Linked DNA regions of Cricetulus griseus. The protein of the gene in region 1 interacts with the protein of each later gene in a pairwise test. Links are inferred from orthologs where the notes say so. Each region holds a gene or a part of one and is shown in the gene's direction. Other genes may lie near its edges.

The links.
Region 2: the proteins of Mtus2 (region 1) and Plscr4 interact in binary tests that used the Homo sapiens proteins (3 or more experiments, as listed by UniProt). The two-hybrid records come from large-scale screens. The link is inferred for Cricetulus griseus from reciprocal best matches to the Homo sapiens genes MTUS2 and PLSCR4.

Annotation. Positions count from the first base shown.
Region 1 is NC_048597.1:83,931,633-83,939,667, forward strand, and holds part of Mtus2 (microtubule-associated tumor suppressor candidate 2), read left to right. Parts: intron 1-4,284; 5' UTR 4,285-4,505; coding exon 4,506-6,656; intron 6,657-8,035. UniProt on the Homo sapiens protein: Binds microtubules. Together with MAPRE1 may target the microtubule depolymerase KIF2C to the plus-end of microtubules. May regulate the dynamics of microtubules at their growing distal tip.
Region 2 is NC_048597.1:201,469,524-201,477,558, forward strand, and holds the end of Plscr4 (phospholipid scramblase 4), read left to right. Parts: intron 1-2,468; coding exon 2,469-2,630; intron 2,631-4,684; coding exon 4,685-4,843; intron 4,844-5,463; coding exon 5,464-5,511; 3' UTR 5,512-5,554; exon of another isoform or gene 5,555-6,479; 3' UTR 6,480-7,183; downstream 7,184-8,035. UniProt on the Homo sapiens protein: Catalyzes metal ion-induced ATP-independent rapid bidirectional and non-specific movement of phospholipids (lipid scrambling or lipid flip-flop) between the inner and outer leaflet of the plasma membrane and participates in the redistribution of phospholipids between membrane leaflets.

The DNA of each region.
Region 1 (8,035 bases):
ATATATAAAAGGTGCAGGCTAAATATAAATGAATATTGTATTTAAACTTGGGTCGGATCCTGTGGCATTTCAGTATATATATCCAAATCTGGAAAAAGTGCACATTTTGAAACACTTCTTTCACCAAGCATTTTGAATAAAGGCTGTTTTAATGTATGAAACACTATAAAATAGGGCCAAGAATCTGAATAACTACAACTGTTACCTTTTTGTAACAGTTTGCTAAGGCAGAGGAACAGGTGGGTTTATAAGCAATCACCACGGGTAAGTACATATAAAATTACATCATTAAATTTAACTGAATATTGCAGATACCAGATATTTGCTCAGGAAAGTTATCTACCAAAGTTTAAGCTTGGAACTTTTGACTTTTGACTCTTCACATGGTTACCCTACTGAAATTCTTCTGAAGGGGAATATGTTGCTGTGTTCACTGAACTAGGCGGTGCATGCAAAGGTACAGTGTTTGAATATGTATACGAAAACTCATAGCCTTACACAGTAGTCTTGATAGTTCAGGGAGACTGTAAGCATAAGTTTTAATCTTTGAAAAGCCATTTTCCTGTTAGTGATATGAAAATCTCTCCAGCTTTACTTAAAAAGGGAAACAAATGGACGTAACAGCTATACATGGCAATCGGAATGTTGTTTTTCTTTAATTTTTAGAAATATCATTTTTATTATTTAATGTGTGTGGATATTTTGTCTGCCTGTGTCTGTGAACCATATGCTTTCAGTACCCATGGAGGCCAGAAGAGGGCATCAGATCCCCCCTGGAACTGGCGGTAGAGACAATGTGAGCCACCACTCGGGTGCTGGGATTGAACCTGGGTTCTCTAAGAGCATCAAGTACTCAACCATTGAATCATCTCTTCAACTCCAGAATGTAGTTTTCTCATGCTTTCTCTTGATTCAGCCCTGGGGATGGGGTAGCCAGTTCTTCATCTAGAAGAGCTACTTTAGCATTTCAACCAACCATTACACAAGTGAAAAAATTAGAATCCTTGATAACCTGAGGGTAGTGAGTGTTCACTATTCTGAGCTCAAGTTGGGATCCAGTTGGGTCACTTCATCTGGCATATCTATGCTGCAGAAAGCTGTTCCAAAAGCCACAGGGGGACAGAGACTCCTGAACCATTAATGTAGTAAGCTTGTGGTCTCCTAAAATGAGTAAGACACACAGCTTAATGCGAAGCACATTTAACTGCTATAAAATTAAATGTACAACAGTCCCCCCCCCCCCCAGTCTCTGGGGCTCCACATTTATGGGCTCAAACAACCACAGAAAATATTTAAAAATCACACCTCTGCTGGAAACACATCAACTTTTCTCATCACTGTTCCCAAACATTATAAAATGCCAAGTATTTGCTTTATATTAGTGATTGTAAGTGACCTAGAGGCATTTGAATGTATAAAGGAAGGTGTGCGTACATTCTATGCCAGCACTACACATTCTCAGATTTGAGTATGTACGAAAGTTGGTAGATAGTAAATTCAAGAACATGGTTGTGAAAAGGGTCAAAGACACCCCAAGAAAACCCACAGAGTCAGCTAACCTAGGCTCATAGGAGCTCACAGAGACTGAACTGACAACCAGGGAGCCTGCATGGGACTGACCTAGGTGCTCTTGATATAGGTGACAGCTGTGGAATGTGGTGGTCTTGTGAGACTCCTAATAGTGAGAGCAGGGGCTGTCTCTGACTCCAATACCTGTGTTTGGGACCCTTTCTCCTAGACCTCATCCAGCCTTAAAAGAAGAGGAGGAGCCTAGTCTACCTGAAGCTTGCTATACCTTGAATGGCTGATATCCATAGGAGGGCCACCTGTATCTGAAGAGAAACAGTGGAGGAGGAGTGGATGGGGGAGATAGAGGACAGGTGGGGGAGGAGTGGAGGGAGGGAAGACTTTGGTTGGAAGCAAAAAAAAAAAAAAAAGAAAAAAAAAGAAAAAGAAAAGAAAAGGAAAGAAAAGAAAACCATGGCTGTGATAAAAGTGTGGTTGGGCTGGCCCACAGGAGAGATGTGCAGACTCAGGACTTAAGAAACAACACGTAAACTCTCATGTAGCAGCTTTTTGAGGAGGAAAGAGTTTAGGGAAGTTTTGTGGGAGAAGTGGGCTTGGGCTGGATTTTGATGATGTTGGTAGGAAGTGTAATTTAGCAGGACAGTCGTGTTTGAAGTAGAATTGTACAAATATTTGAGTCTTTAACCACAGAAGGATCATCGGAGCCCAGGTGTCAAGCTGAGAACCTCTGACTCTAGCCTGTCTTTCAGTCAGGTGACTCAGGGTGACGAGGATGACACAGGGTTGGATCTGTTGAGTTTCTCATTGTGTGAGAGTGACTTTAATGATACATTGTTGGAACAAACATAGCTCACGGGAACCTGGACTCTAAGATGGATAAAGAGATTGTGTGTAAGTGTCCAGATGACATCAATACATTTCATGATTCAAAAGTAGATATGCCATTAACCAAAGAAGCTTCTAGATAAGGTGCCCAACTATTTACAGAGCTGGTGAACTTGAGACAGCTGAGCCTGCCCAGTGATGAGAGATGGGCACAGATAGAAGAACCTCATGGACCCATTACACCTGTGTCCTCTGTAGGGACATTTTGGCCAAGAATGGAAGCCTATGTTACAGTGGTCTTATTAAATGCTAATGATGTTGTTAAAAAATCTTCAGTGTTGGACTGGAGAGGTAGATGACTCAGCTGTTGAGAGCCCTGGCTGCTCTTGCAGAGGACTCAGGTTTAATTCCCAGCATTGACATGGCTGCTCAAAACCATCTATAACTCCAGTTCTAAGGGATCTGATGCCCCCTCTGGCCTCTGAGGGTACTACATGCACATGGTGCACAGGCGTACATACAGGTAAAACACCCATACATATCAAGTAAAAGAAATATGTTTTAAAAAAAGACAAAAACAAAACCAACCAAACAAACAACACAGCTTTCTCTAGCAAGACACTGTTTTATGGGCGTTTGTCACTTTCTAGAAATCCCATTGTTCCTCATGGTTTCTGATGTTCTGGTTTTGTTTCTTCATGAGATTCAGACCAAGAGAGCTCTTGGCTTTGTGTCTGTACTTGCTTGCATCTCTAGGGAGTCAGAGATGGTGCCCTTCTGTGGATGGCCATGCTTGTGAATTTCTTGGCTCGTTGGGATACTCACATCCCAGCCTGGAGAGTTTAGCTTCTTTTTAAATGGCTGTCCCATGAATCTGCTTAGATGTTGTTAGTTTTTTGCCTGGAAGACAAATGTATTCTCAAAATGGAAACAAGAACGAAATGGCAATTTTGGCACAACTTTCCTGTGTTAGGCTCAGTCCCTCAGTTAGGGATTGTATTGAGGCCAGGCTGTACCTCAGGATGCTACTGGCATGCGGGGGGGGGGTGGGGGGGGAGAAACAGGGACCATGAGGGAGGTGTGGGAGGAGTACAAGATCAGCATGGCAGCAAGTGATGGAGGCTATGTTCACAAGAGTCTACATTCCCAGGACATGCAGAGCAGACACAGTTGTGATAGTATGTCCTAGGGTGAAGATGGGAAGGCACACATAAGAAAACAAAACTGACTAAGGGTCAGATTATACAAAAGGACTCCATTTAGGTGGAAAAACATGTATGTACAGGTGGAAAAGAAATGAACAGGAAGGAGAGATGTATCTCAGAATTTGCAAGGATGCTAGGGTTAGATGTTAGGAAGTTAGGGGTGAGATGGAGAGAGACACTACAGTAAGGGAAAGCATGCTGGGCTCACGGTTCTCAGCTGTGTGTATTGTGATCTACCTTCATTGGTGAGGATGCAGTTCAAGATCCCTGGGATGCTTGGATTTACAGGTGGTACCTTTCCCCTACACAGACAGACCTATGATAAAGTGTGCCTTATACATTTGGCCCAGCAAGAGGTTAGCAAATAATTTGCAATAAAACAGAGCAGTCATAACAATGCACTGTGATGAAAATCATCTGCATAGGATTTTTCTTTTCTTCCCCAAATGACTTGTGTTATGCTCACCCTTCTGGTGATGATGTTGTTTGTTTGTTTGTCTTTTGTTATTGTTTGAGACAGGGTTTCTCTGTTATAACAGCCCTGGCTGTCCTGGAACTCACTCTGTAGACCAGGCTGGTCTCAGAACTCACAGAGACCCACCTGTCTCTGCTTCCCAAGTGTCGGGATTAAAGGCGAGCGCCACCACTGCTAGCTCTCGCATGTGTCTCTTACTCATGGTTATTGTTGTCTTCATTCTAAAATGACGGTGTTTTCATTTCTTCACAGGTCTCATCGACTAACTGGTTTTCACTGAGCAGCAATGGAGCATCGTGAGTTGTTTCGCTGCGTGTCAAGACAATGGTTGGTTCTGAAACTTGTCTGAAGAGGTTCAAAGTAGTGTCTAGATGTGCCATTGTCACAGGAGGACAGGCAACAAGACAGCTGCCTGTTGCCCTGCAGTTTGAAGGGGGACTGCATGGCCAGCAGCCCTCACTGAAGAGGTGACCATGAGTATCCCACTGGCTCCAAAGAAACACTGTTTCAGTCAGTTGCGAGAGCACCAAGATCGGGCAAAAAACAATAACGAGAGCATTCTAAGCATGGGAGATACAAATGCCAATCAAATCATGTTGGAGGTCAGCTCCCCGAATGATGAGCCCAGGACACGTGATCTGGATGATGAAATTGGAAATGCAAATGTGAGCAGGCCACAGTACCACAGCCACTCCCAGAAGCAGCCCCCTCAACCTCAGGGCTTTGGGAAAGGGGCTCAGGCTGCCTCCACCAGCCAGAGGGATTTTCATCCTTCTCTGGTTGTTCATAGACAACCGAGTGAAGAACACACAGTGAAAAGAGCTATCCTGCAGACCCCCCAGAGTGTCCAGGGACCAGGTCTAGCCAGTTGGAGGAATGCAGTGGGTCAGGCCAGTCTAGAGGGTTCAGCTAAAAGGGATGCTGAAGTTCCCCGACACATTCCCAAGGACAAGTTGGCAAAGACCCTTGACAATGAAGAGCTGAAAAGAGCCAGCAGCTCAGCAGCTTCAGCTGGCAGTCTCATTTGGGAGAATTTGCAGCCCATGCGGCTGGACACCTCAGAGCCACAGGGCCTTGTGCCTGGGCGTGGGGAGGGGCCACAGGGGACATTGGCTGGTCACACTCCAGGGACAGTCTTATCTGTAGGTGAGGGTACCTCAGCGGGGAGGTGTGTATGTCCTCCTAAACCATCTACCTCAGAAGCCAGGGGGTCCATCCCATCAGTCACCAAGATGGAGGGGACACATGGCCTGGACCTTTACAGCGAGTGCATCCCTCACCCAGAATCGACTCCCAATTCAGCTTCAGCATTGATGGAAATTCCCAGCCCCAGTCACCCGGAAGTGTTCGTAGGCCAAGGAACAGGGGAGCTCAAAGTGGAGCGCAAATACCTTCAACCCAGGAATGAGCAGGGGCTAAAGTCATCCCAGGCACAGGGTCTGGGATGTCACGAGGAGAAAAGTATGTCACCTGTGGAGAGGAAGGAGCTACATGAGAAGACACATCAAGAAGCCACCAGTCAATTGAACAGCAGCCACCACCAGCTTAAAGTGGGAGAAGGCAGCGGCCTGGAAGAAATGATGGGAGTCAGTGCTGGTGTGGAGGGGTTTCAGCAAGCCACCCCAGCGCAGAGCACTGCTCCTGGAGAGGGAGGTACTAGACTCACTGGTAAAACGTCACCAGGCGCCTTAGGTAGGACCATGAGGGAAACAGCATCCAGCGACTTTGCACCCAGCGATGGCCACATAGCTTGTGTTCTCCGTGATACTGAGAGCATCTCCTCTGAGGTCAGTAGGGAGGAGAGGAGTCAGGGTAGCCAGAATGGAGGCAGTGCCAAGGCATTGGCCGCAGGTCCCTCTGTGGGAGGGAACAGAGCTGAGGCCCCTGAGCTCTTGGGCCCGCACAGCGGCAACTCAGAAGCCAGAAAAGGCAGAGAGACAGCGACACCTGTAGCTGAAGATAGGAACCGTCTAGAAAACGCAGCCCAAACCGAAGTCGCTCCAGCTGGAGGAGATTCAGTTTTCAGCACCTCAGCTCCCCTCCACCCAGAGACAACTGTGAACTTGACTCACCACCCCACTCCTCAAGGTAGCAGTTCTCAGTTCAGCGTGGACACGGGCTCAACCCTGGTGGCCTTGCCACCCACTGATGGTGGGCAGGTGTTGAACACATCCCTGAAAGTGCCCGATAAGAGCACCTGCCCCAGTGGGATCCCCAAGCCTCTTTCACATCCCAAGGACGCACCTTCCTCCCAGGAAGCAACCGAGAAACTCGAGATGGAGAAAGTGGAAGAAAGGACAGAGACAAAGCCGGTCCTTATGCCGAAGCCCAAACATGTGAGGCCCAAGATCATCACTTACATCCGTAGGAACCCTCAGGCACTGGGTCAGGGGGATGCCTCACTGGTCCCCGTGGGGCTTCCATATGCCCCTCCTTCATGTGGCATGCCTCTTCCACAAGAGGAGAAGACAGCGAACCGTGACCTTCAGCCATCTGCCAACATGTATGAGAAATTCAAGCCTGACTTGCAGAAGCCGAGGGTCTTCCCCTCTGGACTGATGGTGTCTGGGATCAAGCCCCCAGGGCATCATTTCAGTCAGATGAGTGAGAAGTTTCTGCAGGAGGTAAGAGGGTGGCACTGTAAAATGAGCTATACATTTGTGTTTTTAAGTCTGTTTTTTCCCCCAGTGGAATTTGAAAAAAAAAGTGTCTCACTGTAAGTGAACTACGCATGTGCATGAACAGATCTCTACAAAGATACTTGTGCCTGGAAGTGACTGTCTAGAACAGTGTGATAGCCAGGTTGAGACGGACCCAATACCTAAGGTAGCTTCCATGTGTAAATACACAAGTAGCGGTCTATGAGGCCAAAGCAAGGGAGAAGCTAAGGTAAATAGAGTATTCAGATTGAGCAGACTAATCCTTTGGCGGGGAGTGTTTCTCTTTGGAGAAAACCTTGTGATGAGCTTTGCACGGTAGTGCACCTGCAAGCCTAGCATTTGTGGAGCCAAAAAAGGAGAACTGAGTCCCAGGCCAGCCTGGGCATCTGAGTGTAACCCTGTGTCAGAAGGTACAATAGAAAATCTTACTTAAATATATGCAAAAATAATGACATGAAAGACTATGCTAGGCTCTTTGTAGTAAGGACCGCAGTGGTGGTTCCCATTTTGTTGTATGTTTGCTGTGCACTGTGCCCTACCTGGGCTGGTTGTCCTGGGTGTGTAAGAAAGCAAGATGAGCAAACCATGAGAAAGCCAGTGAGCAGCATCCCTTCAGGGTCAGTTCCTGCTTCCCAGGTTCCTGGCCTGACTTCCCTGCATAATGGACTGCGACCTTGAAATATAAGGTGAATAAATCCTTTACTCTTCAAGTTGGTTTTGGTCATTTTATCAAAAGCACCAGAGAATCGAACTGGCACCACATTTAGCAGGCTGTCCTTTAGTTATTCTTCATGCCAGCCTGCTGCAAATCAAGGTGTCGTCCCCACAGCTTAGCAGTGTTTGTCAAAGGTCCTTGATGAAGGCAGGGATGGGCACCCTAAATGGCTTTAGGGTCAGATGTGCTCCTTAAACACTAGCTAGCACCCTGAATTCAGGTTTGCATCAGAGCTTCTGACATAAGCCCTATAGTATGTGATCTTGTAAATGGAGCATTAGTGACAAGAGGAAAATATAGCTGTCCATAGTTGTCTACTCCTCCGTGGGTGACACCTAATAAAGTCATTTAACTCATCAAGCAAGATGAGCTTTAAGGAGCCATTTACATTATTTTTATGTGTGCAAGTGTTTTGCCTGTGTGTGGGTCTGGGCACAATGTGCATGTTGTACCCGTGGCGGCCAGAAGAGGGCATCATATCTCCTGGAACTGGAGTTACAAACAGTCATGAGCTGCCATGTAGGTGCTGGGAACCCAACCCAGGTCCTTTGGATGAGCAGCCAGTGCTCTCAACCACTAAACCATCTCTCCAGCCCCTTGCAGGAATCATTTTGGGAGCTCTTGATGC
Region 2 (8,035 bases), about 120 Mb from region 1:
AATGATGAGGGTCAAGTCATGCTCTGATCTGTTGCTATTGTAATATGTTCTTTTAGCACAATAATAGCAGATTTTCCTCTATGCCCATGACCTATCTAGTCTCATGGTCTTGGACATTTAGATCCCTGAAATGGATCACAAAGTATGATCTTCTTTACAGGTTCTTGAATTCAGCTTCCAATATTTTACTGGTGGTTTCTGTCTGTTGAGCAGGAGAGTTGCTCTGTAGTTTCCTTTTATGTTCTGCCTTTATTTGGTTGTGGTACCAGGGTACTACCATTGCTCAATCAATTTGATGGTTTCATTTACTCTCTATTTTGAAAAATAGTTTAAGACATTAACTAGTCCTTGAAAGTTCAGTAGAATTTAACTCTGCATCTGTCCAGTCCTAGACTTTTCTTTAGTAAGAAGATGGAGTAGTGACTGCTTTAATCTCATTGCTTGTCTGCATAAATTATGTATATCTTCCGGATTTAATTTTGACAGGCCATGTATTTAGCTGCTTGGAAAGTTTTCCTATCATTGCCAAAGTGTACTTCTGGATTACATTGGATTTTGTTTTGGACATCTCTCTTGTCTCTAATTTTATTAATTTATGACCTCTTTTTATTTTGGTTCATATAGTTAGGGATTTTTCAAACTTGCTTTTCTTTTCAAAAAAGAAAATATTTTAGTTGATTCTGTGTCTCCTTTTAGTCCCTATTTCATCAATCTCTACATTAATCTGTATGATTACTTGCTATTTGCTTCACTTTGGATTTGACTTCCTGTTGATTTTTTAGAATTTTGAGTGGATCATTTGATTTTTAATGCAAGCTCTCCCAGCTGTAATATTTCCCTTAGAACTTCCCTGTCTGTGTCCTGGTGGTCTGAGAAGCTTTGTTGATGTTTTAGTTTGAATCTATTACTGTTTCAATTTTTCCCTTGATTTCTTCACTGATTCAGTATTCATTGAAAATGTGCAAATATTTGTATAATTTCTATAATTTTCCTTATTGTTGGTTCTAGTTTTATTCTTTTGTGACCTGACAGAATATAAGGAATTGATGTAATTCTGTTTATAAGGAATTGTTTCAATTCTCTTGTCATTGTTGAGCCTTGCTTTATGGTCTTACAGTGTCACCAATTTTAAAGTTTTGGTTCTAGGGAACTATCAAATTCAATGTTTTGTATAGTTACAAATTTGTATATATGAACAATGGCTCTGGCAATGCAAGTCCTGACAGCTTTGATAAAATTTTAATGCATGGGTAATTAAGTACAACAGCACAGTGTACAATGTTTTAAAAATCTTTAATAAAGTGCTATTGTCTACCTCCACATGCAAGCTTTTAACTGTTATAGCAAGCAGCTCCCCCACTTCCATCAGCAGTTTTACTTTTTGTGGTTTGGTTACTATAGACAAATATAGTCTGAAATATTAATAACAAGTTCCAGAAATAAACAATTCATACGCTGAATAATGTGGTGAATTCTGGATCTTGATTTATTGTTTTGTGCAGAGTATCCAAGGTATAACTGCATACACACAGAGGCAGTTGAAAGACTACATTCATATAATTTCTATTGTAGGACAGAGTATTGTAGCTATTCTATAGCTAATGGTTCTTGTTGGTACTGTACTGCAACCAAATGATAAATAACTTTGCTGTAGGTGGAGTTTAATGACTATAGGCATGTGTTTATTGTAAAGTATGCTATATTTTGGGTTCAGAACTATCCCTATTTAAGACATCAACCAATGTCTTGGAATGCATTCCCATCAAATGGGGAATACTTTCATACAAATTTCACAGTGCTTCTTTCTCCTTTGTTTTTTTTATTTGTTGTAGTTGTCATGTAGATTTAGTTTTGCTGGGTCTGATTTATTAAGTTAACTACTCCTATTATACATGAAACTCCTAAATGAAACAAAGGCTGTTATTACATTTTTTCTGTTTTCTTTTTTTTCAAGACAGGGTTTCTCTGTGTAGCCCTGGATGTCCTGGAACTCTCTCTGTAGACCAAGCTGACCTCAAACTCACAGAGATCCACCTGCCTTTGCCTCCTAAGAGCTGGGATTAAAGGCGGGCACCACTACTGCCTGCTCAAAGGCCTTTATTACAGCACAGCATCATGAATGCCAGTACATTCATGTAAGGTCCTCTCTGCCTCAGGTCCTTCAGGATTGACTGTGTGACAATGCTGTATGTCCTGTTAGGAACACTGGTGGAATCTTACATCAAGCAGTTGAGCAGTTATTCGTTAAGCCTTTTCTTTGTCCCACAGTAAAACATGACCTCGTCTCTTTAGAGTCCTCTTGGAAATACAACCCTGCAAATGGCCCCAGGGAAACATGAGTCTGTCCCTAACATAAATTCCCCCTTGCCCTAGAATGACCAAGAGCATGTTCAGGTGTGTGCACATGAGTGGCATAGTTATGCATTGTACAATACAACATCATAACTTCTGTTACTTTTCATATGCAGCTGGAAGTGCAGTGTCCTCCTGGTGTCACCATTGGATTTGTTGCAGAACACTGGAACTTATGCAGAGCCACTTACAGCATCCAAAATCAGAAGAAAGAGAATGTGATGAGAGTGCGTGGTCCATGTGCAACCTATGGCTGTGGTTCAGATTCCGTTTTTGAGGTAGATATATATATATATATAATATATATATATATATATTATATATATATATATAGAGAGAGAGAGAGAGAGAGAGAGATATCTATCTATCTCTCTCTCTCTCTCTCTCTCTCTATATATATATATATATATATATATATAGAAATTTTGCTTCTACATTTTCCATTATGACCTCAAACCATTCTTCTTGTCTTAACCAGTTTTTCACATGAATGAGTCAAATGGTATGAAGAAAGAGTTAATTGCAAGTGTTCACTTGGTTTCTCATGGTTACTTGATATTTTCCACAATGTGAGTGGCGCTGCCTTTTTAAAACATTTTTTTTCCAATTTAGAACATTAAACTTTTGGGAGTAAACAGCCTGATTGGATCAATAATTGAATATATATATATATATATATTTCTCCCCAATGATTTCTAAAATGGGAATATAGGTTTTATATGTAAAAATCTAGCAAACCCCAGTACTTAAGGAATTCATAAGGGCATGGATATAATGAATGACTGGGTTGTATTATAATATTTTCTCAAAACAGAGTGGTCTAATAAAGAAAAGGGATACCAGCCTACAGGATACAACCCTAGAGAACCTAGGTAACAAAGAAGACCCTGAGAGAGACATCTGCCTAGGAAGGGGGGAATACAGATCTCCTGAGTAAACTGGGAATGTGGGGGAGCAGGGAATAGGGTGGAAGGGCAGAGAGGAGGAGGGTAGGGGAATGGAGAAAATGCATAGCTCAATTTAAAATTTTTTTCATAAAAGGAAAAATATGTGAAAAAATTAAAAAGAGTGGTTTTGTGTTTGTTTGTTTGTTTGTTTGTTTGTTTGTTCTTGCCTTTTGCATTTTTCCCAGGGACTGCCAAAGAAATTGTTAAAATAAAAGTCTTGAGGTTTGGGAGGGTTTCTCAAAGCCTTTTAACAGGATGAGGCTTGACATACACTAAACTTATTCCCTCTCCTGCTTCCTATGACACAAAAAGCTTTCTAGCTTTTATTTTATGTCATCATGTAATGAAACATGCCTCACTTATTAAGAGTCAAGACTGGACAGGTGAAACCCACAGAAACAGCTGACCTGAACAAGGGGGAGCCCATGGACCCCAGACTGCTGTCTGGGTGGCTAGCACAGAACTGATCCAGACCCCTGAACATTGATGTCAATGAGGAGGCCTCAGCACTCTATGGGGCCCCTGGTAGTAGATCAGTATTTATCCCTGGCCGAAGAAAGGACTTTGGGAGCCCATTCCATGTGGAGGGATGCTTTCTCAGCCTGGACACATTGGGGAGGGCCTAGGCCCTCCCAAGATGGTATGACAGACTTTGGGGATCCCCATGGAGGGCCTTACCCCCCTGGGGAGCAGAGGGGGGATGGTGTAGGGAGCTGGTGGGGGAAGAGGGGAGGGAGAGGGAGAAGGGATTAACATGTGAAACAGGCTTGTTTCTAATTTGAACTAAAAAAAAAATTCTTTGGAAAAAAAAAAGTTGTATAGAAAATGTCAGCAAACCAGATTTCCAGTGCAGATTGTGTGTGATCATTTCATTACAGAGGGACTTTAGAAGCTATGTATGAGGTATTTCTACTGTCAAATGTCAGGGCCCCTCTTTTAGAAGTTGGAACCCATTCTTATACATAGATACACTCAGAAGGGTAGATTTGGCCCACAGGGGCTTGAGTGGTGTTCACTGTATAGTATTACCCCTTAGTTTTGTTTGGAGGTTTCCTTGGTTGGAAATGGTTTCCCATCCCCAAATTATCACCCTCTGCTACGTAAATGAATTTAATCATCAATACAAACCATACCTTCTGACAAAGTCCCCAGAAGATGTATTTAAGAGTGAGGAAAAGTCACAAGACTGAGGGTTTTAAGATACATCCCAGCTCAGTTACACAAAGTTTCAGGACACTTAATCTTAGGGGTCCTCATTTGAAATTATGTCATTAGTGTTTTTTCCGGTATTCTATATTATCATATCACAAACTGCTTCTAAGAAGACATACACATGTCCCTTTATGCTTTTCAGCCATCCTAAAGTCCCACTCTTGGCATTGCAGGTCAACTCTCTAGATGGAGCATCTAACATCGGCAGTATTATCAGAAAGTGGAATGGCTTTCTATCAACAATGGGAGATGCTGACCACTTTGAGATTCGCTTCCCTTTGGACCTGGATGTGACGATGAAAGCGATGATTTTCGGCACTTGCTTCCTCATTGTAAGCCTTACACTGTGGGCCCATTTCTTCTGATGAGCAGTATTTTTTAGAAGAAAATTCATTTTGAAACTTAGCTAGCTTCTGTCTGTGCCACCTCTAGGCACAGGTTGGCACTTGGTACCTAGATTTACTCATTTGTAGCAGGGAGAAAAATAATGGCATTGCAGAGTGACGAATCTTAACTGGGTAAAGGCTGCTGGACACACCTGGAAGGTGTCATACAGACAGTGGACGCAGTAATCATCATTTCCTATTAGTTATTTTCTCACTACTTCAAAACAGCTGTCCCATGATAATTAATGTAATAAAATAACTACAGAGCAGCTGCCCCTTTCCTCTTTCCAGTCAACTGCAATCATGCTCATTAGTGTTACATCATCCTAAGTTTTACTAAGGTTCTCCTTCAGTTAATGATAAAAATGCTCACTATGAAAAGCATATGATCCACTTGCATTCTCATACATTAGTCGTGCTCATGAATGTTTTAGATTTATTTTTTTTTACTGGAATACGATGCTCTCATGATAAATTACAAAGGAAATATATTATATGCATTAATATAATTATTTCTATCTGTCATTCATTTCTCAATCTAAATATAATACCCTTTCCAATTTCAGGACTTCATGTACTTTGAAAGGACTCCTACACGGCGTTCATCAAGATAGAGGGATCAAGCAAAGAACCAGTTGAAAACAAAATTAGAGAAATGTGCGTTGGGCTCACAGCCAGCCTTCAGTTATTTGCAAGTATCTTTATCTGGCTTGAACATTGCTTTCACTGGTATAAGTTCAAAGATGCAGTCAGGACACATGTCCCAGTCGAGTATTTGGATTCTTGGGACACTATTAGCCAAGTAAACATAAACAGTGCAAGCAATAAACAAACAGCACATGAGCTATGGAAAAATGAAGCCCTTAGTTCTCAACTTAACAGGCAGTAACACATCTTCTGTGTCTGTCTGTCCCTCTCTTCTTTGTCAAGAGGGCAAACTTGATTCCAGGTGACAGGACTTTCACAATTAATCGTCGTCTTTAGGACTCAAAAGGCACACAGAAATAACGTGCTTTAACAAGCAAAGAAAATACTTCTTGTGGGCATGTATCAGAAGTGTGTTCTGCAACATTCATAAAAGTTCATGAAGTTCTCTGTGGGGAATTTGACTTTATTACAAAAGAAAGTGTGTTTTATGCTTCAGTTTTTACTTGCCACAAGTATGTCTTCATCTCTTCAGCTGCATAATTTGAAGCTAACTATTCATGAAGGCAGGATGAGGCTACTAGGGAAAGTTGGCCAGAGCCACAACCAAATAAGATCTTCACATCTTAGGGCTTTGGTGCTTGAGTACTAACTTTGGACATTTACTTACTTGGCACATTTAGCATCACAGACACTTTCGATCTGAATTTTTATCCAGAAGTCTAGGATTATGTATTGTATCTTTGTATCTCACATGACACTTTTTCAAAACCAGTCTAATGACCAGGATGTTTATAATGACAAACAGTTTATAAAAACTGAATGTATAAATCTTATCATTGTTTACCATTGCTTTACTGCATTCCATGTCAAACAACTCTTTACAAACAAACAATAGGAAAACACAGTAAATATGTTGCCTTCAAATTCTCCCCAGATTGTCAACGAACACTATGGAGGATCAGCTGAGCACTTGTATGTACCAAGGATGGTGTATGTGTGAATATAATAATTAGTGAGTCTCTCATCTTGGCACGTGGACTGTGTTCTTTCATGGATGTATTCTTTTAGAGCTTATTTAATGAAGATTAAATGTTCTTAGGTTGGGTTATCCTGAGAGAAGAGTCTTAGCTGATAGCTCTTTTTGAAATAAATGACAGGTGCTTCACTTTTACTTATACTAACCTTTTTATGATAAAGATTGTTTTACTACATTATTTGTAAAAATTCTTTACTTGCCATTGTTCATTTTTATAAAAAATTAAGATATATGAACTGTTTTCTAAAATAATAAATACCTTATATTTTAAAATGCAACTCAAATAGTAACTAGACACACCTGCTTTCTGTAGTACTTACTTATATATTGCATATAAACCAGATTAAGAGAGCTTGTGTATGAACTTGTCATTTTACCCACCCTGGCCTTACATTGATAGTGCAGGTCAGGTACTTTACATTTCTGTTGCATATTTTAGTGTTTGTGATACTAATATATCTCTAACTGAAAATTCCTTAATATAATAAGGTGTCATATTTTAATGTAATGTAATTTGTGCAATTCCTGTATCTCATAATGGAATTTATTGTATGAAATTAACCACCTTAACTAAAAAGATAAACAAAACTTTTTTCATTTTATTCTTTTTTATTTTAATTAGAAAAAAAAATTTTACATGTCAACCCCAGGTCCTTCTCCCTCCCCTTCTCCCCTGCCCCCCCCCAACTAACACCCTATCTATCCCATACCCTTTCTGCTCCCCAGCGAAGGTAAGGCCTTCCATGGGGGTCTTCAAAATCTGTCTTATTCTTTGGGATAGGGCCTAGGTAAACCGCCTTGTGTCTAGGCTCAGGGAGTATCCCTCCATGTGGGATGGGCTCCCAAAGTTCATTCCTATGCTAGGGATAAGTATTGATCCACTACAAGAGGTCCCATAGATTTCCAAGATCTCCTCACTGACACCTACATTCAGGGGGTCTGGATTAGTCCCGTGCTGGTTTCCCAGCTATCAGTCTGGGGACCAAGGGCTCTCCCTTGTCAGGTCAGCTGTTTCTGTGGGTTTCACCAGCCTGGTATGGACCCCTTTGCTCAACAGTCCTCCTTCTCTGCAACTGGATTTCAGTTTAGTTCAGTGTTTAGCTGTGGGTGTCTGCTTCTACTTCCACCAGCTGCTGGGTGAAGGCTATACAATGGCATATGAATTAGTCATCAATCTCATTATCAGGAGAGGGCATTTAAGGTAGCCTCTACTCTGTTGCTTAGATTGTTAGTTGGTGTCATCTTTGTAGCTCTCCAGACATTTCCCTAGTGCCTGATTTCTCTTTAAACCTATAATGTCTTCTATTATATTATCGCTCATCTTGCTCTCTTCTGTTCTTCCCCCAAGTCAACCTCCCTGCCCCATCATGTCTTCCTCACCCCTCCTCTTCTCCCCTTCTCATTCTCCTAATTTCCTCTTCCCTGCCCCCATGCTCCAGATTTGCTCAGGAGAT